Macaca fascicularis: one gene and its partners. The protein of the gene in region 1 purifies or fractionates together with the protein of each later gene. This does not show direct contact. Links are inferred from orthologs where the notes say so. Each region holds a gene or a part of one and is shown on either strand. Other genes may lie near its edges.

Region 1 (5,618 bases):
TATCGATAAAAATTTTTATTTAAAAAGTAGCTTTGCTAATAAAGCACTTGACAGTGCTAATAAGGATTCGGTGAAACTGCGTATGTGTTGTGCAATGATGTAATACCTTAAAAGAAAAACTATATCTCTACTCACAGCACTTCTGATACCAAATGTGTGGAGCTTCTGCCCCCCCATATCAAACAATTTTCAATTTTCTGTGGACATGGAGTGTCCTGCAATATAATTCGGACACTACCTGGAGTTAGTGCAGAACCCACAGGTTGAGATCAGTCTTATTAAGACTGCCTCCACCACTTCAGATGCCATTGCAAGTAGGAGGTCCCTAGGTTACCCATGCCTTTTATCCAATTGGCCTGTAAATTAGGGGTTCCTTTTTTTTTTTTTTTTTTTTTTTGAGACAGGGTCTCACTCTGTCACCCAGGCTGGAGTACAGTGGCACCGTCTCTGCTCACTGCAACCTCCGCTGCCCAGGTTCAAGCGATTCTCGTGCCTCAGCTTCTCAAGTAGCTGGGACTACAGGCGTGTGCCACCATACTCCATTAATTTTTGTATTTTTAGTACAGATGGGGTTTCACCATATTGGCCAGGCTGGTTTCAAACTCCTGGTCTCAAGCTATCTGTCCACCTCGGCCTCCCAAAGTGCTGGGATTATAGGCATGATTTTTTTCTTCTATTAGTAGCCTTATAAGTGGCTGTCTTAGTACATCTTTTGAATCAAGTTAACTGAAAATAAATAATGATATGGGTGGTCGATTTGTTCTAGGAACTAATGAGTAACCATTTGTGGTTTATTCTTATTACCTGGCTTGAGGTTTGTGATGATTTGTAACAATTTTTTACTGTACATATGAGCCTTAAGCATTTTGCATATAAGTTAACAAAGACTTTGTTTATGAGATGAGGTCTTTGTACTTAAGTTGCCTCTCTTCCAATTAAACCATAACACGGGGTTCCTATATTCAAAAGTTTCTTCATGATCTAATTGGCCCTGGTGAAAATTACGTTCCATATTAATGCAAGGTTCTAATACAATGGAGTAATTTTTTTTTTAATGAAAATTTTATTTAAAGTTTGGGGAAATGATTTAAGACTTCTAAGGGTGTTCTTTTTTTTTTTGAGCTGGAGTCTCATTCTGTCACCCAGGCTGGAGTGCCGTGGTGCAATCTCGGCTCACTGCAACCTCCACCTCCCAGGTTCAAACGATTCTCCTGCCTCAGCCTCCTGAGTAGCTGGGATTACAGGCATGTGACATCATGCCTGGCTACTTTTTGTATTTTTAGTAGCAACGGGGTTTCACCATGTTGGTCAGGCTGGTCTTGAATTCCTGACCTCGTGATCCGCCCGCTTCGGCCTCCCAAAGTGCTGGGATTACAGGCGTGAGCCACTGCACCCGGCTTTCACCAGTGAGTGTTCTTTAAGAAAATAGTTTAGGTTGGGCGTGGTGGCTCACACCTGTAATCCCAGCACTTTGGGAGGCTAAGGTAGGAGGATCGCTTGAGGCCAGGAGTTCGAGACCAGCTTGGGCAACATAGGGAGACCCCCCCCCCCACAAAAGAAAAAATTAGCCACACATGGTGGTGTATTCCTGTAGTCTTAGCTAATTGAGAAGCTGGAGTGGGAGGCTCACTTGACCCTGTGAGGTAGAAGCTGCAGTAAGTCATGATTGTGCCACTGCACTGCAGCACTCTTGCTCTGGGCAAGAGAGTGAGACCTTGTCTCAAAAAAAAAAAAAAAGAGGCCGGGCGCGGTGGCTCAAGCCTGTAATCCTAGCACTTTGGGAGGCCGAGACGGGCGGATCACAAGGTCAGGAGATCGAGACCATCCTGGCTAACCCCGTGAAACCCCGTCTCTACTAAAAAATACAAAAAACTAGCCGGGCGAGGTGGCGGGCGCCTGCAGTCCCAGCTACTCGGGAGGCTGAGGCAGGAGAATGGCGTGAACCCGGGAGGCGGAGCTTGCAGTGAGCTGAGATCCGGCCACTGCACTCCAGCCTGGGCGACAGAGCGAGACTCTGTCTCAAAAAAAAAAAAAAAAGAAAGTTTAGAAAAAATTATTTGTTCTGATGCACAAGGGATACAGAGAAAGGGAAAAATATATATTAACGTGATAAGGGATTCTTAGAGATCTGAGACAGATAAAGTCATGCAAGCAGTTACAGTTAATACAAGAAACTAGAACTATTTATGTTTGAAGATATTTTTTGAAAGGTTAGATTATTTTTCCCTGAGAAGTGCCCACTTGCACATTCTTACTTCCTGGTGGTTTTGATGGTAGTGAAGGTGAAGGTTAATATTTGGAGCTAGTGAGTGCACAGTTTGAGCTCACTTTTTTAGCCAGATAGGTATTTTTGTTACATGAGGTCTAAGGGAAAAAAAAAACAAAAAAAAAAACTTACTAAGTGGGAAAATAAGTAGGAAAATATTACATATATGAGGTGAACAAAGTCGGGGGATGGTTTCTGGATGAAATTGTTCTACCTTGGATCATCAAGCATTAGTTAGATTCTCATAAGGAGCACGCAACTTAGATCCCTCGCATGCGCAGTTCACGATAGGGTTCACACTTATAAGAATGCAATGCTGCCGCTGATCTGACAGGAGGCAGAGCTCAGTTGGCAATGCTTGCTTGCCCGCTGCTCACCTCCTGCTGTGCTGCCCAGTTCCTAACAGGCCACAGGCTGGTACTGGTCTGTGGCCCGGGCTTTGGGGACCCCTATGTTAGACTGATCAAATATATAATAGCTAAGAGTAGACATTATAAAGTCAGAAGCTCCTTAAGCTTTTAAACCTGTAGCTTTTACTAAAATGTTGATCACAATGGCGCCATCTAAAATGAGAAGAGGGCAGAGTCTCAGACCACAATGTGAAAAGACAGTAGTCAAAGATTAGTGCACATTACCTGGCAAGTTTCCAACAACTTTTTTCTAAGTTTAAAGAGCAAATAAATTTTTTTTCCCTTGAGATAAAAGTTACGTCCAAAAAGCAGAAGGAAAGAGACACATTTCTTTTTTTTTTTTTTTTTTTGAGACGGAGTCTCGCTCTGTAGCCCAGGCTGGAGTGTAGTGGCCGGATCTCAGCTCACTGCAAGCTCCGCCTCCCGGGTTCACGCCATTCTCCTGCCTCAGCCTCCCGAGTAGCTGGGACTACAGGCGCCAGCCACCTCGCCCGGCTAGTTTTTTGTATTTCTTAGTAGAGACGGGGTTTCACCGTGTTAGCCAGGATGGTCTCGATCTCCTGACCTCGTGATCCGCCCATCTCGGCCTCCCAAAGTGCTGGGATTACAGGCTTGAGCCACCGCGCCCGGCCAACACACATTTCTTCTTTATACTGTTATATACTAAAATGTTTCTTCTGCCTGGTGCAGTGGCTTGTGCCTGTAATACCAGCTACTAGGGAGGCTGAGGCAGGAGGGTCACTTGAGGCTAAGAGTTCAAGGCTGCAGTGAGCTGTGTTCACAAGTTTTAATTATTCTTAAAACAACTGTTTAAAATTTCTTTAAACTTGCTTCTTTATTCCTCTGTCTTTACTTTGGTTGGTATTTCAGTTAAGTTTTTGGTGTTTTCAAATTTTATCTAAATGGATAAACTATTAACATAGAACATAAACCCCAATTCTCCATTTCATTTTTCTCTTAGGCATGAATCGTACAAAACTCAATATAGAGCAATGTTTGTGATGAATTGTTCTATTAACAAAGAGGAGGTTCTAAGATATAAAGCCTCAGAGAACAGGAAGAAAAGGCGAGGCCATAAGAAGATGAGGTCTAACCAGGAAGATGCTGCCGAGAAGGCAGAGACAGATGTGGAAGAAATCTATCACCCAGTCATGTGCACTGAATGTTCCACTGAAGTGGCAGTCTATGACAAGGATGAAGTCTTTCATTTTTTCAATGTTTTAGCAAGCCATTCCTAAACAGCCCAACTGGCATTTAATTACCCAATACTGTATATAAGGCAAATATGGACAGTTACTTTCCTCCTGCCTGTTCATAAGTGACACTGAGGAAGCAGTGTTTCTCTTTATAAAGAAGAATAGTTGTCAGCCTTCATTCATCTCTTACATCTCTCACCCTCTCCTTTTCTTTTTTCCTTTGATTTTCCCCCCTTATTGATGAGACTGATTCATTCTGTTTTTGATGAACATTTGGAAATGGGGGGCTTTTTGTTAAGGCTCTTTAGAATTAAAATGTTATGGAATTATAAGCAATTTTTGTTTCTGAGTATTATTTTTACTTTGGATGTAGCTTTGATGTAATTAAACTGGAAACTCTTTCCTGAATTGTCTGTATTGTTTTTGCTAAGATGTATCTTTATTCACCTCCACCCCACAGGATGGAATAACAATATTTAGTAACTGTTACAATTGTGTGGAGTACGCCACTAGCCTTGGCTCCTGCCTGTAATCCCAGCACTTTGGGAGGTCAAGGGGGTGGATCAGGAGTTCAGGAGTTTAGGAGTTTGAGACCAGCCTGGCCAACATGGTGAAACCCTGTCGGTCTCTACTAAAAATAGAAAAATCAACTGGGCATGGTGGTACGCACCTGTAATTCCAGCTACTCAGGAGGCTGAGGCAGGAGAATTGCTTGAACCTGGGAGCCAGAGGTTGCAGTGAGCTGAGATCGTGCCACTGTACTCCAGCCTGGGTGACAGAGTAAGACTTTGTCTCAAAACAAACAACAAAGAAACAAACAATTGCATGGAATAGGTACTGTCAGATACTTTAAGAAATAAAGGTCCTTCTCTGAAAAAAGAGGACACTTACCAGTATTCTAAACTTAATGAATGCACATTTTAAAATATAAATTTATGGTGAGTTTAACTAGACTTAAACATTCTGGCGGGGCACGGTGGCTCACCACTGTAATCCCAGCACTTTGGGAGACATAGGTGGGCTGATCGCTTGAGGTCAGGAGTTCCAGGGCAGCCTGGCTAACATGGTGAAACCCCATTTCTACTAAATATACAAAAATTAGCCAGGCCTGGTGGTGGGCACCAGTAATCCCAGCTACTTAGGAGACTGAGGCAGGATGATCACTTGAACCTGGGGGGCAGAGGTTGCAATGAGCCGAGATTGTGCCACTTCATTCCCACGTGGGTAACAGACGAAGACTCCGTCTCAAAAAAAAAAAAATTCTGCTGCCACCTCTTGTGCCTACTATTTATTCTGTTGCAAACAACCAAGATATAATTTTTTTAGGTATTAATATAAAAACCATCAGTGGCAGCTTGAGGGGAAATTGCATTGTAGGCATCTGTGTATTTTATTTTCAGTCTTTAAAAAAATGATATGGCCGGCCGGGCGCGGTGGCTCAAGCCTGTAATCCCAGCACTTTGGGAGGCCGAGACGGGTGGATCACGAGGTCGGGAGATCGAGACCATCCTGGCTAACACGGTGAAACCCCGTCTCTACTAAAAAATACAAAAAACTAGCCGGGCGAGGTGGCTGGCGCCTGTAATCCCAGCTACTCGGGAGGCTGAGGCAGGAGAATAGCGTAAACCCGGGAGGCGGAGCTTGCAGTGAGCTGAGATCCGGCCACTGCACTCCAGTCTGGGCGACAGAGCGAGACTCCGTCTCAAAAAAAAAAAAAAAAAAAGTGATATGGCCGAATGCAGTGGC
Region 2 (6,468 bases), on another chromosome or scaffold:
AGCAGTGCCTGAATTCCCACTGGAAGAGGGTATAATGAGGCACATTGGGCCACCCACGGTCATCATGGCCTGAACTAGCTTTTCAGGTTTACTTTAGAATGCGTTTGGCCAAGAGGTGTCCATTCGGTTGGTTGGGGTTGCTTAGAATTTTACTTTGGGTTTAAACCAGGGAGTAACTCCAGGTAGCAAGGGCCCTTTCTGGGAGGATTCTCTGTGTTCTCTTTTGGGAGAGGCCCTGTGTTGCCTGCAGTCACTTCCACCCTGCCCCTTGGGCACACGAGGAGCACACAGTGTCAGTAGGTTGGCAGGAGGGGTCGGGCAGCCAGGGAATGCAGTATGAGATGGGCTTGGGGTCGGGGCTGGGTGCGCTGCAGGACTCCTCCTCCTCCTAAGGGACGGCAAAGGATGGACACACTGCTCCCTCCTGAGCATTTGAGGGTCTCTGTCCTGCCCATCTATTTCCTGTAAGTGTTCCTTTGAAGAGCTGGCGGCTCAGGCCTGAGCCATGTCTCAAAGGGGCTGGAGGGGAAGAAAGACCTCGTCCTACTAGGGAGCCCACCCAGCCCCTCAGCGGGCGGTGGTTGGGGGGTGGACAGGCTCTGGGGCTAAGCAGCCCCTGCGCTCCCCGTCCTTGCCAATGGGCTTGGTCTAGACTCTCCTATCTTCCCCTACATCGTGGGGTGGGGCTTGCTCTGGGTCAGGCTGCTTTTCCCTAGTTGTGGGGCGGGAGATGCTGGCACATTTAACTGACCCCTGGAGGAAATGAGTGCCTGGGAATTCATGTCTAGGGCTCCCAGCAGCCTCTTTGCGGGCCAATTTGGAAACTGTCCCCAGCCCTGCATTTTAGGGGGTTACAGAGTCTCTCAGCAGGCCCTCCTCCCCTGCTGCTCCCAACTTCCAAGCCTGCACTGGTTGGGGTAACAGGATGGTTCAAGGAGCCCCCTCTCTACTTTCCACTGTGTTCCCTGTGGGGAGGGAAGAGCAGTTTAAGGAATAAGGTATCCCAAAGGCGCACAGCAGACCGGGGACCGAGGAGGGGGTCCTGCTTCCCCTCCTTTTCTCTAGGCTGAGCCACAGCAGGTCCTTGAATCCTATTTCCCAGCGGATGCCAGGACAGCAGGCCCTGGGGGAGTTCTCTCTCGAGCCTTTCAGAGGGACCAGAGGTCTAGCAGCCACGGGGAACTCAGATTCCTTGACTGTGTGGGGCATGAACTCTCCCAGCTGAGAAGGGGCACAAGGTGCCAACAGGGCCAGTGGCCAAGGGAGACGCGGCTTGTCGAAGGGAGAACCTGGGCCCTCGTCTTCCCTTTCAGGGCGGGCATCTGACCTGCCCCCTGGACAGGCTCCCAAGCACGGCGGAGGCCAAACCTTCCCGGCTGCCGCCCACCCAGCCACGCTGACTTGGAAGCTTGAGCATTCAGCGGCCTCCATCCTGCCCGGAAGGACCAGGGACCTGGCCCCAGCTTCCCCGCAGCGCCCTCGGGGGACGTCTCAGTGCCTCCCGGAGCCCGGACCAGTGCACCAGAGCTGAGGGCCCAGAGGTGTCAGGGTGGCCGGGCAATTGTGTGAGGACGACGCCCCACAAGTTTGCGGCCAGGGCCCAGTAAACCCCTAGGGGTGGGAAAGCATCGGCCCAACCAGCGGGTAAAGCCCCCTTCACCCGTGACCCAGCGGCCACGACCCCGCGTCCTCATCTCGGGCTGGGACCGCCTCTGCGTCTGGCCTGAGCGGGACCGTGGGATCCCGGGGAGCCCCGCCTCGCTGCATTGACGAAGCCCAGGAGGAGCGACAGTTACCGCTTCCGGTCATGACCGGAAGTGCTGGGAACGGCATTCGTTCTCCATACGAGATGATGCACTTCCTGCCTGGGGCGGCCGCTGTTCTCGCGGTTTCCGGCAGGTGGCGCTGGGACCACGGGAAGCCGGCCCGGTTGTCGGTTAGCCGTCGAGCATTCTGGGAATTGCAGGCCTGGCCCCTCCTCTTCCTGTTCTTCCTGGTCAATTCCGGTCTTGGTTCCCCAACAAATGCCGTCGTTTCCGGGGCCGCTTCCGAGCCGGACCCAAGGGCCGGGGCGTAGAGGGGCGGGCGCATGCGCACAGGGCTACACATCCCGACAGGCGTCGGGAGTGGAGGCCCAGTGCCTTGTGGGAGTTGTAGTTCTGCAGGTGCGGAAGCCGCGGCGCTCCGCCGGCAGAGCACTCGGTTTCCCAGAGGGCTGAGCGCGCCGCGCGGACGTGCGGCGCCGACCAAGATGGAGATTGCCGTGCATCCTTGAGCCGGTAGGTTTGTGCTGAGGGAGGACGGGCCACGGTGGCCGGCCGAGCCTCCGGAAGGTCACCGAGCGCAGCTTTAAATTGAGCTCGGAGGCCCCGCTGTGCTCGCCAACCCCCGTACCTTGCGACCGGGCCCTTGGCACCCACAGCATCCTCTTGAGGCCCGGACCCGGGCCTGTCCAGCCCGACTTCGCACCGAGAGCCAACTTGGCACTGAGAGTTCGTTCTTTCCCTGGCGGGGAGGTCTTGCTGGCACATAGAGTGGAGAAAGGCCGGGCTCTGCATTCATGTGGAGAAACAGACGGCTTCCTTCAGTCTCCAGACATGAAGGAGTCAACTCTGCCCTTCCACTCATTGCCGGATCTCGCCGAGAACCCCGAGAACGGACTCCCGGAGTCCCTGTCTTGCAGCCCGATCCCCGCTCCCCCTCGGAGTGCCCCGCTACCAGGCTGCTTCTGGCCGCGGCGGCGTTCTGCTGCAGAGGACGGGAGTGCGAATCTGGGAAGTAGGGGTCTGGTTGGAACTCCAGCTTCGTCTGCAACATACTGTGTGACTTGGGCAAATTATGGCCCCCGCCCCATTCCTGCCAGTTTTAAAACGGTCATCAGTGTGGGGGGTACTGGGTATCGCCTTTCCCTGGGGTGGCTTCTTCACTGAGGAGAGTCAGGCCTCAGAGGAATTGAGGTCCTTCCTGTGTTTGACCTGGTGGAGGGCACTGACAGTCCCTAATAGTACCCCTGACCCCATCCTTGTTGGGTGCACAAGACACAGGTCACCCTGGGCGGGCAAGGAGTGTTGGTAGCAGGAGAGGAGTCAGTGGATGGATGGCCGAGGACAGTGAAGAAGGGTGTGGATGGGCCGTCTTTTTTGCTTGGAAACGCAGCTCTGAGGCACCTAGTCACTCTACCACTAAATGGGTACAGGAGGCAGCATTTGTCTGCCCAGCTGGAAAGGCAAGGTATGTGCTGAGTGTTACAGGAGGAAGGTCACTGGAGGTCGCTCCAGGAGCTGCGGGGATTTGCTTCTGCCTAGCAGGGCTGCTCAAGGTGATGGTCGACACCCCACTTTCCTGAGAGCTTGACCCTCAGATGCCAGGGCCTTGGCTGCAGATTCCTTGGGAGCTCCCGGGGATCTTCCAGCAAATAGGAGCAAACCTTTTCCCCATGGATCAGGAAGGTGCCGGCTCTTTGTGGAGTACCAACTGCTCACCCTGCACAGCAAGCAGCTTATAAGTGGCCCTCCTGCCTGATCTCGGCCCTGGGTTTAAGCCCTGGGTGGCTGCTTACTACTAAAATCGCTTAGTAGCTCCAAGCTTGCCTGCAGAGGGTTGGCACGATTAAATGAGGTAACGAGTCAAAAGTCCCTACCCTGAGTCCTAGCCTGTCAGGGGCTCTGAAAACCCAGACTTAGGTCGGTCCTGCCTGGCACCTTAAGGGGTGACAATGTGCTGGCACTGGACACAACCTGTTTCACACATGTGTGCTCTGGTCTGAGGTTGGTCCTCTCCCCCACCCCACCCACCTGCAGTTGAGCAGCTGAACAGCGGCAATGCTGGGGCACTCCCAGGCCTGAGACGACCACGCCTGTGCCACTGAGGACCTTCAGCAGGGCTCCATTCACCTGGCCCACTTGGCTGTCCAGTCACACTCCAGTGTCAACCACTGGCACCCAGCAGCCAAGAGAGGTGAGAGGAGGGCTTGGAGGGGGAGGCGGGACTCCACCCTGTGTGGGACGGTTCTGTCAGTTGATTCTCTACTTGTCCAGGGGCAGTGGATCTGCAGGGGGAACTCATTCTCAATACTTTTCCTCCTGAGAGACAAACTTCCTGGGCCGTTTTGGTTTAGGTGTGGCGTGGCCCTGGGGACCCATGGCTGATGCAGGGACAGGTGAGCCGTCCCCCAGCGTGGAGGGCGAGCACGGGACGGAGTATGACACGCTGCCTTCCGACACAGTCTCCCTCAGCGACTCGGACTCTGACCTCAGCTTGCCCGGTGGTGCCGAAGTGGAAGCACTGTCCCCGCTGGGGCTGCCTGGGGAGGAGGATTCAGGTCCTGATGAACCACCCTCACCCCCGTCAGGCCTCCTCCCGGCCACGGTGCAGCCATTCCATCTGAGAGGCATGAGCTCCACCTTCTCCCAGCGCAGCCGTGACATCTTTGACTGCCTGGAGGGAGCGGCCAGGAGGGCTCCATCCTCTGTGGCCCACACAAGCATGAGTGACAATGGAGGCTTCAAGCAGCCCCTAGCGCCCTCAGGCCGGTCTCCAGTGGAAGGCCTGGGCGGGGCCCGTCGGAGCCCTGCCTCCCCAAGGGTGCCTCCGGTCCCTGACTACGTGGCACACCCCGAGCGCTGGACCAAGTACAGCCTAGAAGATGTGACCGAGGTCAGCGAGCAGAGCAATCAGGCCGCCGCCCTGGCCTTCCTGGGCTCCCAGAGCCTGGCTGCCCCCACTGACTGCGTGTCCTCCTTCAACCAGGACCCCTCCAGCTGTGGGGCGGGGAGGGTCGTCTTCACCAAACCAGTCCGAGGCGTCGAGGCCAGACACGAGAGGAAGAGGGTCCTGGGGAAGGTGGGAGAGCCGGGCAGGGGTGGCCTTGGGAACCCTGCCACAGACAGGGGCGAGGGCCCTGTGGAGCTGGCCCATCTGGCCGGGCCCGGGAGCCCAGAGGCCGAGGAGTGGGGCAGCCCCCATGGGGGCCTGCAGGAGGTGGAGGCACTGTCAGGGCCTGTCCACAGTGGGTCTGTGCCAGGTCTCCCGCCGGTGGAGACTGTTGGCTTCCATGGCAGCAGGAAGCGGAGTCGAGACCACTTCCGGAACAAGGGCAGCAGCCCTGAGGACCCAGGTGCTGAGGTCTGAGAGGGAGATGGCCCAGCCTGACCACACTGGCCACTGCCATCCTGCTGCCTTCCTAGTGGGGCTGGTCAAGGGGCAGCCTGGCCACTGCCCAGCTGGAGTGGGAGGAAGCCTGCAGGCTGCCTGTAGGTGGCACTGGAGGCCCTGGCTGCAGCTCTGGGTGGCGTCCTCCCGAGCAGAGACCTGCTGAGGCTCCTGGGGTGTGGGGTGTGGGCTGGAAGCACTGGCTTCCTGGTGGGGACAATAAAGGTTTTGGGTCTTTCTCAGACTTTGTGTATATTTGGGCCCTGCTTACTCAAAGGGGTCTGTCGGCAGCAAGAGGTCCCCACACCTGACAGTGCTGGACCACTCGAGGGTGGCTGACACCTGCATCCCTTAACAGCAGATCACCCAGGTGACAGCAAGAGTTGGTAACCCCAGGCCGCCTCTAGGGCTTGTGGCTCAGTGGCAGGTGTCCAGCGAGTACCCTCAATGGGCCTGAGTGGGTCCAGAATCTGCCCTCCCCCAACCAAAGCCCACAGGATGCCATCAGCCCCAGGCCTAGTGCGGACCACAGCTTGGGAGGCGACAGGGAGATGACAAAATGGGTCTGGACAGAGAAGGCTGGGGTGTGAGTGGGCAGTTGCAGGGCTTGGGCAGGTGTTTGACTGAGCCAGGGGTCCAGTTTTATCTGGGTGTTTTCCAGGCTCCACTGGAGATAAAGCAGCCACTGGCACCAACAGGGGCTGTGTCCTAGCGCCATAAACACCAGCGTGTGCTGTACTGGCCATTGGGTGTTGTGGGGACAGCTGACAGACGCCGTGGGTGCCCAGCCTTGTCTTCCAGGAGCCAATCACCTGAGCCCCAAAGGACCTTTTGGGTCTTAAGTGGCAGAAATTCTAACCAGTAGTGTTTCAAAAAAAGATGAGTCTCTTGTCAGGCAACACAAGTCAGGGCAGGGGTGGGTGCAGACCCCACAGCAGCTGCTCAGTCTGGATGGGGGTGCTCCCCCGTCGCACCGCAGGGCCAGCTTTTCTGCGGTGCACGCTGGTCAGTTTCCAAGTAGGGTTACGGTGGGGCACGCTTTCTGCCCGGGGAGTAGTGCCTGTCAGGGTAGACAGCCCCATGACACTGCGGTGCCCCCAGGGAGGCCGGGAGGGACAAGGAGCGGTTCCTTTGGGTGAGGGTCTGGTGAGGCACCAGGAGGGCCATTGTCTGCTGGGGGGTCTGCTGCCCCCTGGGGGTTCCGCTGGAGGTCGGCAAAGGTCAGTGCACAAGACCCAGGGTGGCCTGCTGAGGTGAGATGGCCCCACATATGGCAGGCCAAGCAGCTTAGGTGTCCGAGGAAGGCTGGCCATCCCC
Region 3 (5,866 bases), on another chromosome or scaffold:
AGACAAGGTTTCACCATGTTGGCCAGGTTTGTCTCGAACTCCTAACCTCAAGCAATCTGCCCGCCTTGGTTTTCCCTGTCTTTTAACTGTGTCTCTAGACTTAAGGCTATAGAAAAGTCTCCAGAGGTCATCTAACTCAGGAAGTAAGACTTGGGTTCCCTTTATTACCTTCTTTTTAGGAGTCACCCTCTGAGTTATGTTTCTCTCCAGAAAAATAAATAATGAAATTATTATTTCTGTTTTATTTTATGACAGTCCTTCCTTCCTCCTTCCCTTCCTTCCTTCCTTCATTCCTTTCCTTCTTTTTTTTTTTTTTTTTTTAGTTCTTTTTTTTTTTTTTTAAGGAGACAGGGTCTTGCCGTGTTGCTCAGGCCGGAGTGCAGTGGTGCATTCATGGCTCACTGCATCCTTGATCTCCTGGGCTCAAGCGATCTTCCCGCCTTAACCTCTCAAGTGGCTGGAACTACAGGCATGTGCTACCATGCTTGGCCAATTTTTTAATTTTTATTTTTTGTCTTGTTATGCTGCCCAGGCTGGTCTTAAACTCCTGGCCTTCAGGGATCCTACCACTTCAGTCTCCTAAAGTGTTGAGATTACGGGCATCAGCTGCCATGCCCAGCCTGTGACAGTTTATTAAGCTATGATTAGCGTTCTATAGAATCCACCCATTGAAAGTTTACAATTCAGTGGTGTTTAGTATATTCACAGAGCTGTCCATCTGTCACCACAATCTTAGAACGTTCTCATCACCCCAGAAAGAAGTCCTGTGTCCGTGAGTTGTTGCTCCCCGTTTACTCACTTCTGTAGCCTTTTGTTTGTTTGTTTGTTTTCTGAGACAGGGTCTGTCTGTCTCCCAGGCTGGAGTGTGTGGGACAATCAGTCTTGGCTCTCTGCCACATTTGCTTCCTGGGCTCAAGCAGTTCTGCCTCAGCCTCCTGAGTAGTTGGGACTACAGGTGTGCACCACCACACTTGGCTAATTTTTTTCTGTCTTTTGTAGAGACGTGGTTTCGCCATGTTGTTCGGGCTGGTCTCAAACTCCTGAGCTCAGATGATCCACCTGCCTCGGCCTCCCAAAGTGCTGGGATTACAAGTGTGAGCCACTGTGCCTGTCTAACCTTGCTTTTTTACTTTGTCTATACGTTTTGTTTCTGGACATTTTATATACAGATGTTCAACTTATGGGCTTATATCCTGATAAACCCATTGTAAGTTGAAAATATCGTAAGTCTAAAATGCGTTTGAGGCTGGGTGCTGTGGCTCACACCTATAATCTTAGCACATTGCAGGGCTGAGGCAGGCGGATCACTTGAGGTCAGGAGTTTGAGACCAGCCTGGCCAACATGGTGAAAGCCTGTCTCTACTAAAAATACAAAAAAATTAGCCAGGCATGATGGTGGGCACCTGTAATCCCAGCTACTCAGGAGGCTGAGGCAGGAGAATCGCTTGAACTCGGCGGACGCAGAGGTTGCAGTAAGCCGAGATCGTAACACTGTACTCCAGCCTAGGCGACAGAGCTAGACTGTCTCAAAAAATAAATAAAATAAAATAAAATAAAAATGTGTGTGATACACCTAACCTGCTATACTTTGTGGCTTAGCCTATCTACTGGGTTAAACATACTCAGAACACCTACCTTAGCCTACAGTTGGGCAAAGTCATTGAACATAAAGTGTTGAATAACTCATGTAATTTATTGAATGCTGCGATGAAAGTGAAAAACAGGGTGGTGGTTTGAGTCTAAGTATTGCTTCTACTGAGTGTGTGTGGCTTTTACATCGTCCCACACTGAGGCCACCTGTGAGTGGAATCACACGACATGTGGTCTTTTGTGACTGGCCTTAACTTAGTGTGTTTTCAGGGTTCATCCATGTTGTAGCATGGAGGTATTGAAATCCCTTGCCTACTTTTAAATTGGATTGTGTCTTTATTATTGTCTATGTATTATTTTTGTCTGTTGTTTTATTATTGAGTTGTAAGAGATGTTTTTATATATTCTGGATATAGTCACTTATTGGATACACAATTTGCAAATACAGATGGTCCCTGACTTCCCATGGTTTGACTTGACAGTGGTTCAGAAGCAGTTTGCGTTCACTAGAAACTGTACATGGAGGAGGAGCCAGCACCTTTGCTGCAGGCCCTGGGGGTCTGGGTGCTGGGTCCTTGCCCCATGTGTTCTTCTCAGCACTGACCTTCTTGACAGCGTCCCTGCCTCAGATCCTTGCTCTTGGCTCTGCTTTCTGTCTGGGATGGTTTTCTGGTGCTGGCGGGGCTCGGGGGGGTCTGGAGGCGTGTGGTTCCTGTCGCACTTCGCTCGCTCATGTCGTGGTCCCCCAGGTTGGCGTGCCACAGTGGTGCCTGTGCTCCTGCACCCTGTTGCTCTAGCTGGCTTATCGGTCTCTTGTTGGTAGACACATTGTCTTGCACACATGGGAATATATTGGTCACATGAATGCCTTGAAGTCGAACTGCTGGGTCCAGTATGTGCCTGTTTTATTTTGATAGAGAATGAGAAATTGCCCTCTGTAGAGACATGTGCTTCTTTGTAGTGTAAGATTTAGGTCCACCTTCACCAAGTGAGCCAGTCAGCAAATGTTTCAATGTTGGTCGTCTGATACGTGCAAAATGGTACTTAGAATAGTTTAATTAGCATCTTGAAAATAAGAATGGGGACTGGGTGTGGTGGTTTATGCATTAATCCCAGCACTTTGGGAGGCTAACGCTGGAGGATTACTTGAGACCAGGAGTTTAAGACCAGCCTGGGCAACATAAGGAAACCCTGTATCTACAAAAAACAATGTAACCGTGGGCGTGGGCCATGGTGCTGCATGACTGTGCTCCTCGGAGGCTGAGGTGGGAAGATCCCTTTTGCCTGGGAGTTTGAAGCTGCAGTGAGCTATGATTGTATCACAGCATTTCAGCCTGAGTCACAGGGGGAGACCTTGACTCTTTCTCTCTTTTTTTTTTCCCAAGACGTAGTGTTGCTCCGTTGCCCAGGCTGGAGTGCAGTGGCGCGATCTTGGCTCACTGCAATCTCTGCCTCCCGGGTTCAAGTGATTCTCCTGCCTCAGCCTCCCGAGTAAGCTGGGATTATGGGCGCCCACCACCATGCCTGACTAATTTTTGTATTTTTCTTTTTAGTAGAGACAGGGTTTCACCAGGTTGGCCAGGCGGGTCTCGAACTCCTGATCTCGTAATCCACCCTCCTTGGCCTCCCAAAGTGCTGGGATTACAGATGTGAGCCACCGCACCCGGCTGAGACCTTGTCTCTTAAAAAATAATAATAATAAGGCTTTACATTTCTTTTCACATGTTTAAAAGTTGTTTGTATTTTTATTTTCTAGTGAACAGTGTGCCTATGTCCTTTGTGACGTTTCTCTGTTGTTTTCTCTGATTGGTGTGCGATAGACTCACTTCCTCAGATCCCTGGTAGGCAGTGTCAGCATCTCGTGCTGATGTCTGTCAGTTTTAACCATTCGGGAATGCCGTGCTTCCTATTGGGAATCTGCAACTCTGATTTCCAAAATCAAAAGTAACTTTTGTGTTGCTCTTTCAGGATGCCGAGGAATGTGACAGGGCTGGGAGTGTGGCCACCTGCCAGGCTGTCATGCGTGCCGTGATTGGGATTGGGATTGAGGAGGAAGATCGGAAGCACACCTGGATGGAGGATGCCGACAGTGTGAGTTGGCAACAGGAGCCTTTGTCCGCAATATGGAGTCTCTGCTTGTGGGAACAGCAGGCACTTTATAACTACTAGGCAATTTTAAAACCTTTTTTTTTTTTTTCTGAGGCGGAGTCTCGCTCTGTCGCCCAGGCTGGAGTGCAGTGGCGCAACCTCGGCTAATTGCAACCTCCACCTCCTGGGTCCACGCCATTCTCCTGCCTTAGCCTCCCGAGTCGCTGGGACTACAGGCGCCTGCCACCACGCCTGTCTAATTTTTTTGTGGTTTTAGTAGAGACGGGGTTTCACTGTGTTAGCCAGGATGGTCTCGATCTCCTGACCTTGTGATCCACCCGCCTCGGCCTTCCAAAGTGCTCGGGTTACAGGTGTGAGCCACGGTGCCTGGCCCTTTAAAACTCTTTAAATACACTTGTTTTGCACATGGTTGCACTCATAAGGAATACAGCTTGCTTTCTGTTAACCTAAGTTTTTTTTTGTGGGTTTTTTTTTTTTTTTTTGGAAGACGGAGTCTCACTCTGTTGCCCAGGCTGGAGTGCAGTGGTGCGATCTCAGCTCATTGCAAGCTCCGCCTCCCGGGTTTCCACCATTCTCCTGCCTCAGCCTCCCGAGTAGCTCGGACTACAGTCGCCCATCACCACGCCCAGCTAATTTTTTGTATTTTTAGTAGAGATGGAGTTTCACCATGTTGGCCAGGATGGTCTCGATCTCCTGACCTCTTGATCTGCTCACCTCGGCCTCCCAAAGTGCTGGGATTACAGGCGTGAGCCACCGCGCCCGGCTGCACATTTGCTTTCTTATTCTGTTCACTTACTTCTTACTTTTTTTCTAGAACTGTTTGACAATGAAGGAGTTGCAGATGTGATGCCCTTTACCTTTAAATACTTTGGTGTATATTTCTTTAAAAAAGGACATTCTGTTACACAACCATAGCTCAGTTATCAAAATCAGGAAATTAATGTTGGGACAGTGCTGTAACTTCAGACCTTACTCAAATCTCACCCGCAGGCTGGGCGTCGGGGCTGACACCTGTAATCCCAGCACTTTGGGAGGCCAAGATGGGCAGATCACTTGAGCTCAGGAGTTTGAAACCACCCTGGTCAACATGGCAGAACACCATCTTTACAGAAACAAAAGCCAGGCATGGTGGTGCAGGCCTGTAGTCCCAGCTTCTCAGGAGGCTGAGGTGGGAGGATCACTTGAGCTCAGGAGTTCGAGGCCACAGTGAGCTGTGATTGCGCCACTACACTCAGCCTGGGCGATGACAAGACCCTATCTCAGAAGAAGAAGAAGGCTCAGCCGTTGTCTCTGCGTCCTTTTAGCAGAAGAAAAAACCGACTGTGTTCTGTGGGGAATACAGGGCCATCCTCTGGCTAGTCTGGGAGAGCCTCAGCCTTTGTTTTCATGAGTCTGAATTTTTTGAGGACCACAGGCCAGTGATGCTGTAGGCTCCTCTTTGATCTGGTTCTCTGTGGTGTCCCCTCTGGGTTGGGTTGGGTCCTCTTGGTGCATCATACAGAGCGGTGTGCACCTGTCCGACTCCGACCCTCTGGTGCAGGCAGTGGCTGCAGGCGTTTCCACTGTATGGTTGCTGTTTCTTTGTTGTTATTAATAAGTATTTTGAGGATCCATTAATGATGCTTCTTGGCCTGAATCAGTTATTTCTGTGGTGTTTGCTAAATGGTGATTTTTTAAAAAATCTTTTTTATATTAATTTTTTTTTTTTGTAGAAACAGTGTCTCACTATGTTGTCCAGGCCGGTTTTGAACTCCTGGCTTCAAGTGATCCCACCTCAGCCTCCCAAAGTGTGTAGGATTACGGGTACGTCACTGTGCCTGGCCACACCCGCATAATGATTTTGTGAACAGTTTCTCCTACATTTTATTAGTTGGAATTCTACAGTAATGAAGAGCTTCACTTTCTCCTTCATCCGTGTGTGTTCACTTCCTTCCATCTGGATTGGCCAGTGGCTCCTCCTTTGGTCCTTGGGATCAGACCCCACTGCTGGCATTGTCTGTGTGATACACACATGGTTCCTTTGCACCCCGTGTGGCACGACCCAGAGCTTGTGTGCTGGCTGGGCCATCCTCCCGCCCCATGTGTGCTAAAATACACACATCGGTCCTTAGGTGAGTTAAGACGCAGGGCAGCGGTAACGTTTTTGTTGTCGTCATCATTGTTTTTG
Region 4 (5,866 bases), on another chromosome or scaffold:
ATCCCTGGCCTCTATCCAGTAAATATCAATAGCACTTCTCCCTCATCCCCCAATAATGACAACCAAAAATGTCTCCAGACATTGCCAGATGTACCTAGGGGGCAAAATTTTCCCTGGTTGGGAACCCCTGATCTAAATGAATAGATTTCAAAAACAATGTCAGTGAAAAAAAAAAAAAAAAAAAGCAAGTTATAAATACATACGGTAATGGGTACCAAAAAAAACAGAATGAATGAGTAAGACCTACTATTTGATAGCACAACAGGGTGGCTCTAGTCAATAATAACTTAATTATACATTTAACATAGAGTGTAATTGGATTGTTTGTAACTTGAAGGATAAATGCTTGAGAGGATGTATACTCCATTCTCCATGATGTGCTTATTTCACATTACATGCCTGTATCAAAACATATATCCTGTAAATATATACACCTACTATGTACCCACAAAAATTAAAAATTAAAATGAAAAAGAATAAAATATATACCATGTGGATGTTACACATATAAAAATTTTAAATACACAAAATACTATACAGTCTGGGCGCAGTGGCTCACACCTGTAATGCCAGCATTTTGGGAGGCCAAGACAGGTGGATCACGAGGTCAGGAGTTCAAGACCAGCCTGGCCAATATGGTGAAACCCTGTCTCTACTAAAAATTCAAAAATTAGCTGGGCGTGGTGGCATGCACCTGTAGTCCCAGCTGCTTGGGAGGCTGAGGCAGGAGAATCGCATGAACCCTGGAGGCGGAAGTTGCAGTGAGCCGACATCGTGCCGCTGCACTCCAGCCTAGGTGACAGAGCAAGACTCTGTCTCAAAACAAAACAAAACTATACATTATTTATAGATACATATATATTCATTTATTCAACAAATATTTATCGAGTGCCTCCTATGTGCCAGGTCCTATTCCAGGCATTGGGAATATAATAAATGAACCCAAAGTGTCCTCGTCCTTATGGAGCTCACATGCTAATGTAGGAGAAAGACCGCAAGCCATTATACAATGTTAGATGGTAGTAAGTGCTATGAAGAAAAAGCAGTGAGTGGGGATACAGGGGTAGAGACTGCTCTTCTAGATAGATAAGTTTAATCTTCTAGAAGATTAAACTTCCTTAGGCCTTTCTAAGGAAGTTTTCTTTGAGAAGGGACCTGAATGAAGTGAAGAAGTGAGGCATTCAGGTATTTAGGGGAATAACATTCCAGCAAAAGGACAGACAGCAAATACAATAAATAGAAACATATATATATATATACACACACACAGAGAGAAAGAAAAGCGCCGAAGAGTACTTGAGAAAGCAGTCACCTCTGGGGAACAAGACAATGGATTGGGATGGGTGGCAGTGGTCATCAAAGGAAACATTAGCTTTCTCTACAGTATTTTTTTTTTTTTTAAGACGGAGTCTCTTTCTGTCGCCAGGCTGAAGTTTAGTGGCGCGATCTCGGCTCACCGCAGCCTCTGCCTCCCCAGTTCAAGCGATGCCCCTGCCTCAGCCTCCCGAGTAGCTGGGACTATAGGCGCATGCCACCAAGCCCGGCTAATCTTTTTGTATTTTAGCAGAGACAGGGTTTCACCATGTTGGCCAGGATGGTCTCAATCTCCTGGCCTTGTGATCTGCCCTCCTCAGCCTCCCAAAGTGCTGGGATTACATCTCTACAATATTTTTAAGTTACATGATAAACCTATACCCTTTTTTGTCAATTAAAAATAAATAAATAGGCCGGGCGCATTGGCTCATGCCTGTAATCCCAGCACTTTGGGAGACCGAGGTGGGCGAATCACCTGAGGTCAGGAGTTTGAGACCAACCTGGCCAACATGGTGAAACCCCATCTCTACTACAAGTACAAAAAATTAGCCGGATGAGGTGGTGGGCACCTGTAATCCCAGCTACTCAAATTAAAAATACACAAACAAATAGCCAGGCACAGTGGCTCATGCCTGTAATCCCAGCTACTTGCTGAGGTAGGAAGATTGCTTGAGCCCAAGAGTCAAGGCTGCAGTGAGCTGTGATCATGCCACGCACTCTAGCCTAGGCGACAGAGTGAGACCCTGTCTTAGAAAAAGAAAAAAAAGAAACTATGCACAGAGATACTTATGTGTTGAGTGAGTGACATAATGCTGACATGATTTGTTACATAAATTGATGGCACCCTGTCTGAACTATTAAGAATGGACCAGATCAAGTTGTATAAAGGACTTGCTTTAATTGAATAAACATTTGCATATCTTGCAAAATCACATAGGTGATGGGGAACTGTCTCTACTCTGTATTATTAATATGTAAACATTACTAGGAGAGAGAAAAGAATAACCCAAATAATCATAACAAAAGGCAAAATAAAAATCATTGTGGAATATCAAATGCTAAAGAGAGTCATAGTGAGAAGGTAATAAACTTTCACAAAGGTTGAAGCAGAGAAGTTAAAAAAAGAAAGATAATGGAAGGCTTCAGGGAGGAGGTGTTTCAGTTAAGTCTTAAAGAATGAGGATTTTTTTTTTTTTGACTGTGTCTTGCTCTTTTTTTTTGAGATGGAGTCTCGCTCTGTAGCCCAGGCTGGAATGCAGTGGCGTGATCCCAGCTCACTGCAAGCTCCACCTCCCAGGTTCATGCCATTCTCCTGCCTCAGCCTCCCAAGTAGCTGGGACTACAGGCGCCCGCCACCATGCCTGGCTTTTTTTTTTTTTTTTTAGTAGAGATGGGGTTTCACTGTGTTAGACAGGATGGTCTCGATCTCCTGACCTCGTGATCCGCCCGCCTCGGCCTCCCAAAGTACTGGGATTACAGGCGTGAGCCACGGCCCCCACCCAATGGAGTCTTTCTCTTGTCGCCCAGCTTGGAGTGCAATGGCATGATCTTGGCTCACTGCAACCTCTGCCTCCTGGGTAGTACAGACTTTGCAAAAGTTATAGAACTTCCCTGGGCTCTGGTTTTCTCATCTGTAAAACAGGATTATTACCTTCTATAATAATGAGGAGAGGACTCAATAAGAAAATGTATTTAAAGTGTTAGCATAGCATTTAATACATGCTAGATAAATTTTAATTGATACTTTCCTTCTGGATCTTCTTTTCTTTATATATAAAATACATATGTTATATGTATGTCTTTATGTATTTTTAGTACGTCTTTTATATGTATATGTACTATTAATATAATACAACTCTTTCTATGTACATATATATACATATAGACCCTGTCTATACATATATGTATAGAAAGAATTATACGAGATCAGTGGCTTCATAATGATGTTCCATGGAGCCTGCTTCAGAGCCAAAAGGGAAGGCAAATTGTGTAGATCTCTGAACCTCTATCCTCCACTTGATTTATTTTTATTTTATTTTATTTATTTATTGAGACGGAGTCTTGCTCTGTTGCCCATGCTGGGGTGGCTCACTGCAACTTCTACCTCCCGGGTTCAAGCAATTCTCCTGCCTCAGCCTCCCGAGTAGCTGGGATTACAGGCGTGTGCCACAATGCCCAGCTAATTTTTGTATTTTTAGTAGAGACGGAGTTTCACCATGTTGGCCAAGTGAACTCCTGACCTCAAGTGATCTCCCCTCCTTGGCCTCCCAGAGTGCTGGGATTACAGGCATGAGCCATCGTGCCTGGCCTATCCTCCACTTTAATTAAGGCCATTTTTCTTTGAGCCCTTCTATATTTTAGAATTCCTGGTAAAAGTTTTTTTTTTTGAGAAAAAGGGATCTGTAACCTAAAAATATGCTTAAAAACAAATTAGAAGGTTGGGCACGGTGGCTCATGTCTGTAATCCCAGCACTTTGGGAGGCCGAGGCAGGGGGATCACGAGGTCAGGAGTTCGAGACCAACTTGGCCAATATGGTGAAACCCCATCTTTACTGAAAATACAAAAATTAGCCAGGCGTGGTGGCGCATGCCTGTAGTTTCAGCTACTTGGGAGGTTGAGGCATGGTAACTGCTTCAACCCAGGAGGCAGAGGTTGTGGTGAGCCGAGGTCGTGCCACTGCACTCCACCCTAGGTGGCAGAGTGAGACTCTGTCAAAAACAAACAAACAAACAAATTAGAGCCAGGTGTTTTGGCATGTACTTGTAGTGCCGGCTACTTGGGAGGCTGAAGTAGGAGGATCACTTGAACCCAGGAGTTCGAGTCCATTCTGGGCAACAATGAAACCCCATCTCTTTATTTTTTTTATTTTTATTTTTATTTTTTTTGAGACGGAGTCTCGCTCTGTCGCCCAGGCTGGAGTGCAGTGACACGATCTCGGCTCACTGCAAGCTCCGCCTCCCGGGTTTACGCCATTCTCCTGCCTCAGCCTCCCAACTAGCTGGGACTACAGGCGCCCACCACCGCGTCTGGCTAATTTTTTGTATTTTTAGTAGAGACGGGGTTTCACCATGTTCGCCAGGATGGTCTCGATCTCCTGACCTCGTGATCCGCCCGCCTCGGCCTCCCAAAGTGCTGGGATTACAAGCATGAGCCACCGCGCCCGGCCCCCATCTCTTTAAAAAAAAAAAAAAAAAAAAACTCCCCAAATTAGACTAGCTAATCCCTTCCAACTTTAAAATACTATGTATTTATGATTACTATTCTAGGTTCTCTTATGAAGAAATACTCATGTTTTTTATTTTTCATAGTTCTCTTGCTATGAGCCCTGGTGAAGAAATCTTAACCTTATTACAGACAATACCATTTGATATAGAAGACCTTAAGAAAGAAGCAGCTAATCTTCCTCCAGAGGATGGTAAGTGATGGACCAGGATACAGTGGAAGGGTTAAAAAAAAAAAAATTAAAATGTTCTTCTAAGTCTCACAGGATCCTCTCCTAAGAGGACTTATCATGTGAATGTAGAATGGCAATATCATGCTTTCTTCTTTTTCAGATGACCAGTGGTTAGATCTCTCACCAGATCAGCTGGACCAGCTGCTGCAGGAAGCTGCTGGCAAAAAAGAATCAGAGTCTATTTCCAAGGAGGAGAAGGAGCAGAACTATGACTTAACTCAAGTCTCAGAGAGCATGAAAGCTTTCATATCCAAAGTCTCAACCCACAAGGGAGCAGAGCTGCCTCGGTAATTTGTGTTAAAGTATAAATATATAAATAGTTAGAACCCAAATGTTGAAGTCATAGTCATTGCCATTTCCACTTTTTTTTTTTTTTTGAGTAAATGAGTTGTACAGATTTCTTTCTTTTTTGTGCCTAGTATGGTGATAACTTACTTATCTGAAGTCAGATTTCTAGAAGTCTTATCCTTTGCAATCCTTGAAATAAGCCAGAAAGATCACCCTAAAAACCATCATCCAGAACCACACAGGGAAACCATATACTTTACTCTTTAGTAGCTTTATGGGCTCAACATTTAGCTTTCAACAAGTTCAGACCTCTGATCTCCCGCCCTGCAAACAGATTGGATATTGAAAACTCAAAGGCAGAAATAATAACAGAAATGTGAAATTACATTTGGCAAGTAACAGGAAAAACAGGTAGATAGAATTATTACTTGTAGGCTGGGCGCGGTGGCTCACACCTGTAATCCCCGTACTTTACGAGGCCAAGGCGGGTGGATCATGAGGTCAGGAGTTCAAAACCAGCCTGGCCAGCATGGTGAAACCCCAACTCTACTAAAAATACAAAAATTAGCTGGGCATGGTAGCGCACGACTGTAATCGCAGCTACTTGGGAGGCTGAGGCAGGAGAATGGCGTGAACCTGGGAGGCGGAGCTGGCAGTGAGCTGAGATCGCGCCACTGCACTGCAGCCTGGGCTACAGAGAGAGCAAAAAAATAAAATAAAATAATAATAATAATAATTGTTACTTGTGTATCACATATATCACTATTAGTGTTGATACTCTTGAACCTGATGAAAGATCTAAATTTATA
Region 5 (6,558 bases), on another chromosome or scaffold:
CCCTCTGGGTCCCCTACTAGGTGCTGTCCTGATTGGCCCGTTGTCATCCCAGGGGTGACTCCTGGTGATGGGAGTCAGCAGTTTCAAATTCTTACACTCCATGGCTCCCCTTACCATGAGGTGGAGCTGGCTTCCTTTTCCCTGTCTTCAGCCCTCCCTGTCTCCAATTCCTGGCCTGGGCTCTCCTTCTGGACCTTTCTGTGTTGTAATTATGTACAGAGGATGGGGTTGGCCTGGGGTGGGGATGCTCGCTTTTGTCTTCTGTCCTTTGGTTCTCCTTCCATAATGCTCCTGTACCCAGTTTATTTAAGGGGACATGCACTGGAATAGGAAATGTCCCCCATATCCCTTCCCGCACCCTGCTGTGCACCCTCCAAACCCACCTTGCTCTGTGTTCTCAGGCCCCCCTGCTTTGTCTCACCAGGACCCCTACCTTTCACCTTGTTCCCTTCCACCCCTCCAGTTAGTCCCTATCTGGGTAAGGGTCTTCCCTTGAGCTCCAGGGGGTGGAACCCAATGTTTACATTCTCTTCTGTCTCTGCCCCCACCCCATGCAGCGCTTTGAGGAATCAGAAAAGAACCTGCTGTTGTACCCGAGTCTGTCTCCTGCCTTGTTACTTGATGGGGGTTGGGGTGGGGTAAGGATGAGGGAGGGAGGGAGAGACAGAGCCAGGACCTGGGTCTCTGTTAAAACAGTCTGCTGTCTTGGCAAGTAGGTATCTCTTGGCTTTGGGTCCATCTCTCAAGTCACTCATCAGACACTGGTTGAGCTCCTACTCCAGCTTTGCCTGGGATGTGCTGTCTCCATTGTCACTGGCTGCCTGGAGCTCTCTAGGTACCACCTGCAGCACCCAGATCTGCTTCCCAAAGTGCTCATGCAACTCCTGGAAGCTGGAACGGGTACTCATGGTGGCTAGAAAGCCAGTGTCCTCTGGGCATGAGATGGGTTCTTGGCCAGCTGCCTGGCACAGCTCCCGGTATTAGGTCTTGAGTGGGGGCAGCAGCCCAGCCAGCCACCTCCAGCTCACACCAGCCAGTGCCCACAGCCAAGTCTCCAGGTTTTCCTGGGTTTCTGCAGCCAGCTTGTAGGCCCGCCCACCCCAGGAGTCAGGATGGTAAAGGCATAGGGTTCTTAAGGTGTAGCTCCACCTGGCAGTTCTCCAACGGGATGAGGCCCAGGGGTGCATGATCGGTCTGGTGTTCTAGGTAGAAGAGGTTTCCTTGGAGGATGAACCATCGGTGCTGGTAGCTGAGGTTTCGGGTCCCCTTCTTTAGCAACATGCCTTCCTGGTCTGGGGCCTGTGTTCTGTAACCATGGAAGAAACTGAGCATGGACTTTCTGTGCAGTTCCATCGTGATCCAATATGGGAGGAAATCCCTAGGGAGAGAGAAGTGGCCCATCTAGTTGCCTTGGGGAAGAGTAGGGGAACTCTCACACTGTCCTCGTCTGGCTCCAGCAGGTGCCGCCTGGGCAGTCTTTGCTTAGGGGGATGCAGGCTCCGAGTGTCCTCAAGAGCTAGAGGTTCCAGTACAGGGGCTGACCCCCCGCCACCTCCCCCAGTCCCGCTTCTGCTTGGGCCACATTCTGTTACCTGGGCACGAGTTGCTAGGCCCTGTTTGCTCAGAGGAGCTTCATGCTACAGAGAGGCACTGTTGCCCTTTTCCAGGCCGTGGTGCTAGGCCCTGTTTGCTCAGAGGGGCTTCATGCTACAGAGAGGCACTGTTGCCCTTTTCCAGGCCTATCTGAGAGCAGGGCACAGGGACTTCTGGCCTGGGTACTGGTGCCAATGCCACCTCTCCAGTGATGGCTCTCCCACCTCAGAAGCCAGGAACTCGCCCAGGGTATGGGCGTGGGACAAATGACTTCCCCTGGGTCCTAAAGGGAGCTGTGTCCAGAAAGTGCCCCGAGAGCCGTCCAGGGGCCCCGGGCTGGCCATCGGGAGAGCCAGGCTTCCCCTCGGGGAGGGCAAGGCTCCACCTCTCAGATAGGAGAGCTTACCACCGGACCACAGGAGTGGGAAGGCAGGATTTCTAACGAGACGGTAGGGGCGCTGAGCCCTCAGCCCTGGTGGAAGGGTGACTCGAACCCAGCACAGGAAAACGGGGCAGCGACCCACTGGCCCTGCTCGGACTTTGCCCCTCCATCCTGACCCTGGGCGACCCTTTAAGTAGATGCTCTCGTTTTTCTCCAGAGCCTCTACTGCTTGAATGAGGGAATCGAAGGTACTTCCGGCCATTTCTCACGCCCGGTCAGAGTGTAGGCATTCACAGGTCCCCTCTTCTCGCCATTGTCCTCCCACGCGACTGACGTCACTTCTTGCGGGAGAGAGGGTGGAGGCGTCTTCCCTCGCTCACCGCGTACTTCCGCCCGCTCTTCCAGTTAGTTCCCTAACCCGAGTGAAGCCACTTCCGGGCTTCCCAGGCGCCTTCCACAGTCCTCTTCCGGGTGATGGCGGCCGGGTGCCCCGGATGTAGCCTTGGCGCAAGCATCTCTTCTTTTCGCCACCTCGCCTCCCGCGGAGTCCCAGGTGAGCGCGCGAGGGTGGGACAGCCCGGATCCCCGTGGCCCTCTAATTTGTACACAGCCCGGGACAGTTGGGGCTCACCACACGGAATTGGGAGTTCGGAGCAGGGAGGAACGGGGTGGCGAGAGCGCCAGGTCCTGGGTCTGCCCGGGCCCCGCGAGCTCCGAGAGAGCCAGAGTAGGAGGCGGGGGTCAGCCGGTCGAGCCGGTGGCGCCCAGACTGCGGGGGCTGGAGTTGGGAGCGGTCACGTGGTGAAGTCTGTTCCCTGTTGGCCAGGGTCAGGGGATCCAGAGGGTCCGCTCCTCCGTCCCCACCCCATTTAACTCGCGGATGCTAGACCCAAGTCCTGCAGGCCTCCTGGCTGCCAGCTTCTCTTCAGCCCTTGCTTTTGTGCTCCCTCCGCTCCCAAACTGTACCTGTCACAGACCAGGAAAAATATTTGCTGTGCTGGGTCCTCTGGTGGCGAGTCCCCTCCTCACCCCATTCTCTTTCTCTGTATCCTTTCCTCAGCTTGAGAAACACCTCTCTGCCCCGTCATGCCAAAGAGGAAAGTGACCTTCCAAGGCGTGGGAGATGAGGAAGATGAGGATGAAATCAGTGTCCCCAAGAAGAAGGTGAGGGGGCCAGACTCCTTTGTGTGGGGGAAAGAGAGGAGCTAGAAGCCTGAGGAGAAAGAAAGCTGGCGGGAGTGGGGCGGGGCGGGCAGGCAGAGAAAAGCCTAGTTTTTTCAGGTTCTCTGAAGAATGGGTTGGGAGCATCTTCAGTGTGGGTCCTAAAATATTTGGGGAAGTAGTCGAGATCCTGAAATATTTGGGGAATATTTGGGTCCAGATCCGGAAGTATTTGGGGAGGTAGCCAGTAACCTGCATTTCTTGACTTGACTCCTGCTCACAGCTGGTGGACCCTGTGGCTGGGTCAGGGGGTCCTGGGAGCCGCTTCAAAGGCAAACACTCTTTGGATAGCGATGAGGAGGATGATGATGATGGGGGGTCCAGCAAATACGACATCCTGGCCTCAGAGGATGTAGAAGGTGAGCTGTACCCAAGAATACACTCTGCTGGAGAAACAAGTAGGGGCCTCTGGTGGTGTGGAGTGAGGGAGGCTCCAGTCTCTCTTTTCCATGCCTAGAAAAGGGCACCTGTGTCTTTGGTACAGGTCAGGAGGCAGCCACACTCCCCAGCGAGGGGGGTGTTCGGATCACACCCTTTAACCTGCAGGAGGAGATGGAGGAAGGACACTTTGATGCTGATGGCAACTACTTCCTGAACCGGGATGCTCAGATCCGAGACAGCTGGCTGGACAACATTGACTGGGTGAGGCCCAGGGGCTGGTGTGGCTGGGGCCGGGGAGTGGCGGATGCTAGGCCTGCTCCCATGGCAGTTCGTGGGAAATCACTGCATCTTTCCATGACAGGTGAAGATCCGGGAGCGGCCACCTGGCCAGCACCAGGCCTCAGACTCGGAGGAGGAAGACAGCTTGGGCCAGACCCCAATGAGTGCCCAAGCCCTCTTGGAGGGACTTTTGGAGCTTCTGTTGCCTAGAGAGACAGTGGCTGGGGCACTGAGGCGTCTAGGGGCCCGAGGAGGAGGCAAAGGGAGCAGCAAGGGGCCTGGGCGTCCCAGTTCCCCTCAGCGCCTGGACCGGCTCTCCGGGTTGGCCGACCAGATGGTGGCCCGGGGCAACCTTGGCGTGTACCAGGAAACAAGGGAACGGTTGGCTATGCGGCTGAAGGGTTTGGGGTGTCAGACCGTGGGACCCCACAATCCCACACCCCCACCCTCCCTGGACATGTTCGCTGAGGAAGTGGCAGAGGAGGAACTGGAGACCCCAACCCCTACCCAGAGAGGAGGTAAGCTTGGAGGACAGAGGAGGGGGCAGTGGGCGGGAAGTGAGACACCGGAGGTCAAATGGCTTTGCCTGTTATTTTAGAAGCAGAGTCGCCAGGAGATGGTCTGGTGGATGTGATGTGGGAATATAAGTGGGAGAACACGGGGGATGCCGAGCTGTATGGGCCCTTCACCAGCGCCCAGATGCAGGTGAGCTGCTTTCTCCCTCCTTCTGGCTTGTCCCTGCTTCCCCTACTCCTGTCAGTCCTTCCCCAGCTCTGCCCTCTCCTTGCAGACCTGGGTGAGTGAAGGCTACTTCCCGGACGGTGTTTATTGCCGGAAGCTGGACCCCCCTGGTGGTCAGTTCTACAACTCCAAACGCATTGACTTTGAGCTCTACACCTGAGCCTGCTGGGGGCCCAGTTTGGTGGGTCATTCTTTCCTGGACTTTGTGGAGAAGGCACCAAGTGTCTCAGGCAGTGAGGAAATTGGAGGCCATTTTTCAGTCAATTTCCCTTTCCCAATAAAAGCCTTTAGTTGTGTATTGGGGCCTTGGCTGTGCTGACGGCCAGAAGCCAGGGGCCTTCTCCACAGCCACTTTGGACTTGCCTTGGTCCCTGAGTGTTTGCTCCCATGAAGATCTTCTTTGGAGGTGCCTGTCAGGTGTCCTGTGGCCTCACTGCCTGGACTCTGCTTGCTGTGTAAACACCCCCAACTGCGCTACTTTGTGTTCCTCTCTGAGGTTTCTTGTTTGATTCCCCTTAGGTCTTTGGCTTTCAGGATGTCAGATTCTTTGTCCTTGTAGCCACCAGGGGATGGAGCCCCAGAAGTGGAGCTTTTAGGCCTGGAAGGACCGGGGCATGGAGAAGACATTGGGTCTCTGTTGGGGGTGGGCATGGAAACGTTTTACTCTTGCTCCACCCTCTCAAGCTCCATAGACACTGGGCAGAAGTGGGATGAGTGGTCCAAGACCGAGATCCCTAAGGTTCTGAGAGCCAGTATCTTCCCTAGCCTGGCTTTCTTCTCTCCTTGCAGTCGTTCCCATAGCCCTTCAGTGAAATGCAAACTCAGTGGCCAAGCGTGGGCCAAGCGTGCGTTGTACTGGCACAGAGGGGCAGTGACTCACTGGAGGTCACAGGAATCAAAGGGCTGGCCCAGAACCAGTGGGCTCCTTTCCCAGACCTTTCTTGGCACAAAGCCTTTGCTGCCTGGCCTTTGAGGCCCTGCGGCCTACATTCTCTCGGCCCCACTAGGTGCCTGGCACAGGGCTAGTGCCTTCAGGAAACTGAGGTAGCTGGGCTGGTCCCCTTCCAGGAATTCAGAGTTTGGTGGCAGAGGCATGGGTGTAATTCTATAGCCTGGGCCTGGCACCCTCCACCCCCTACCCCCTACCAGCATTGCCTTATGCCTCCCTTGCACCACGTTAGATGGTTTCTTCCGGTTTTCCATTCTGGCTGCCCTTTGGAATCTCCTGGGGAGCTGTAATATCTATTTGGATATTCGGATTGAGCTGGTCTAGGTTGTGGCCCAGGCATTGGGTATTTCGGAAGCCTCTAGGTGTTTTCAGTTTGCAGCCAAGCCGAGAGAGAGCCCCTGGGTCCGACCCCCATGGTTGAGGCACCGCTAGCAGGAGGGCTGGCTCCTGGACCCCACTGTGGTTGTAGAGCTGAGCGTGTGTGTGGCTTTAGTGCCGTCCATTAGTTACGGGGATCTGGGCACCAGAGCTGCAGGACACTTGGAATCCCAGGGCAGAAAGGGCCAGACGAGCAACTAGGAAAGACTTGGGGGCCAGGGTGGAGTGGGGTTACCGGACGCTCTTGTGAGGCCTGCTCTAGTGCCTGCTCACACTGGAATTTCATTCACTCCAAGAAGCCATCAGGGGTAAGATACCTTCCTTTAAACATCACTAAGAAAGAAGAGGCCTGCCAGTGACACAGTAAGATGCCATTGATCTAAAGATGCGTCTTGATTTCAGAAAGGTCCGGAAGTGGAAAGCAGGTGTCAGGGCTGAGGTACAGGGTTCACCTGTAGGCCCCAGGGATGGTCTCTCAGGGGTGCTGAGTGAGTGCATGGTAAATCAATGGAGCCCAGGGGCGCCTCCTGCCGGTGTCCTCCAGGCACTCAAACCTAGCCCTTCCGAAGCCGACCTCACGTGACCTCACAGCCCCTCCTTAGGGCGCCTCACTGACGACGGTGGTGGGTGGAAT

The links.
Region 2: the proteins of EAPP (region 1) and TSSC4 purify together in Homo sapiens (affinity purification with mass spectrometry; 3 studies listed by BioGRID and IntAct, counting the BioPlex papers as one, with this or other methods). This does not show direct contact. The link is inferred for Macaca fascicularis from reciprocal best matches to the Homo sapiens genes EAPP and TSSC4.
Region 3: the proteins of EAPP (region 1) and PRPF6 purify together in Homo sapiens (affinity purification with mass spectrometry; 3 studies listed by BioGRID and IntAct, with this or other methods). This does not show direct contact. The link is inferred for Macaca fascicularis from reciprocal best matches to the Homo sapiens genes EAPP and PRPF6.
Region 4: the proteins of EAPP (region 1) and ECD purify together in Homo sapiens (affinity purification with mass spectrometry; 3 studies listed by BioGRID and IntAct, counting the BioPlex papers as one, with this or other methods). This does not show direct contact. The link is inferred for Macaca fascicularis from reciprocal best matches to the Homo sapiens genes EAPP and ECD.
Region 5: the proteins of EAPP (region 1) and CD2BP2 purify together in Homo sapiens (affinity purification with mass spectrometry; 3 studies listed by BioGRID and IntAct, counting the BioPlex papers as one, with this or other methods). This does not show direct contact. The link is inferred for Macaca fascicularis from reciprocal best matches to the Homo sapiens genes EAPP and CD2BP2.

The regions. Positions count from the first base shown.
Region 1 is NC_088381.1:102,321,029-102,326,646, reverse strand, and holds the end of EAPP (E2F-associated phosphoprotein), read left to right. Parts: intron 1-3,637; coding exon 3,638-3,914; 3' UTR 3,915-4,280; downstream 4,281-5,618. UniProt on the Homo sapiens protein: May play an important role in the fine-tuning of both major E2F1 activities, the regulation of the cell-cycle and the induction of apoptosis. Promotes S-phase entry, and inhibits p14(ARP) expression.
Region 2 is NC_088388.1:2,320,916-2,327,383, forward strand, and holds TSSC4 (U5 small nuclear ribonucleoprotein TSSC4), read left to right. Parts: upstream 1-2,230; 5' UTR 2,231-3,231; exon of another isoform or gene 3,232-3,618; intron 3,619-3,800; 5' UTR 3,801-3,957; intron 3,958-4,037; exon of another isoform or gene 4,038-4,117; 5' UTR 4,118-4,140; coding exon 4,141-5,130; 3' UTR 5,131-5,393; downstream 5,394-6,468. Other genes in the region: TRPM5 (transient receptor potential cation channel subfamily M member 5), read right to left, coding at 6,439-6,468. UniProt on the Homo sapiens protein: Protein associated with the U5 snRNP, during its maturation and its post-splicing recycling and which is required for spliceosomal tri-snRNP complex assembly in the nucleus.
Region 3 is NC_088384.1:120,151,638-120,157,503, forward strand, and holds part of PRPF6 (pre-mRNA-processing factor 6), read left to right. Parts: intron 1-3,558; coding exon 3,559-3,681; intron 3,682-5,866. UniProt on the Homo sapiens protein: Involved in pre-mRNA splicing as component of the U4/U6-U5 tri-snRNP complex, one of the building blocks of the spliceosome.
Region 4 is NC_088383.1:73,237,178-73,243,043, forward strand, and holds part of ECD (protein ecdysoneless homolog), read left to right. Parts: intron 1-4,623; coding exon 4,624-4,730; intron 4,731-4,869; coding exon 4,870-5,056; intron 5,057-5,866. UniProt on the Homo sapiens protein: Regulator of p53/TP53 stability and function. Inhibits MDM2-mediated degradation of p53/TP53 possibly by cooperating in part with TXNIP. May be involved transcriptional regulation. In vitro has intrinsic transactivation activity enhanced by EP300.
Region 5 is NC_088394.1:28,492,392-28,498,949, reverse strand, and holds the start of CD2BP2 (CD2 antigen cytoplasmic tail-binding protein 2), read left to right. Parts: upstream 1-2,458; 5' UTR 2,459-2,528; intron 2,529-3,035; 5' UTR 3,036-3,061; coding exon 3,062-3,139; intron 3,140-3,419; coding exon 3,420-3,555; intron 3,556-3,680; coding exon 3,681-3,838; intron 3,839-3,938; coding exon 3,939-4,374; intron 4,375-4,454; coding exon 4,455-4,561; intron 4,562-4,627; coding exon of another isoform or gene 4,628-4,646; coding exon 4,647-4,757; 3' UTR 4,758-6,558. UniProt on the Homo sapiens protein: Involved in pre-mRNA splicing as component of the U5 snRNP complex that is involved in spliceosome assembly.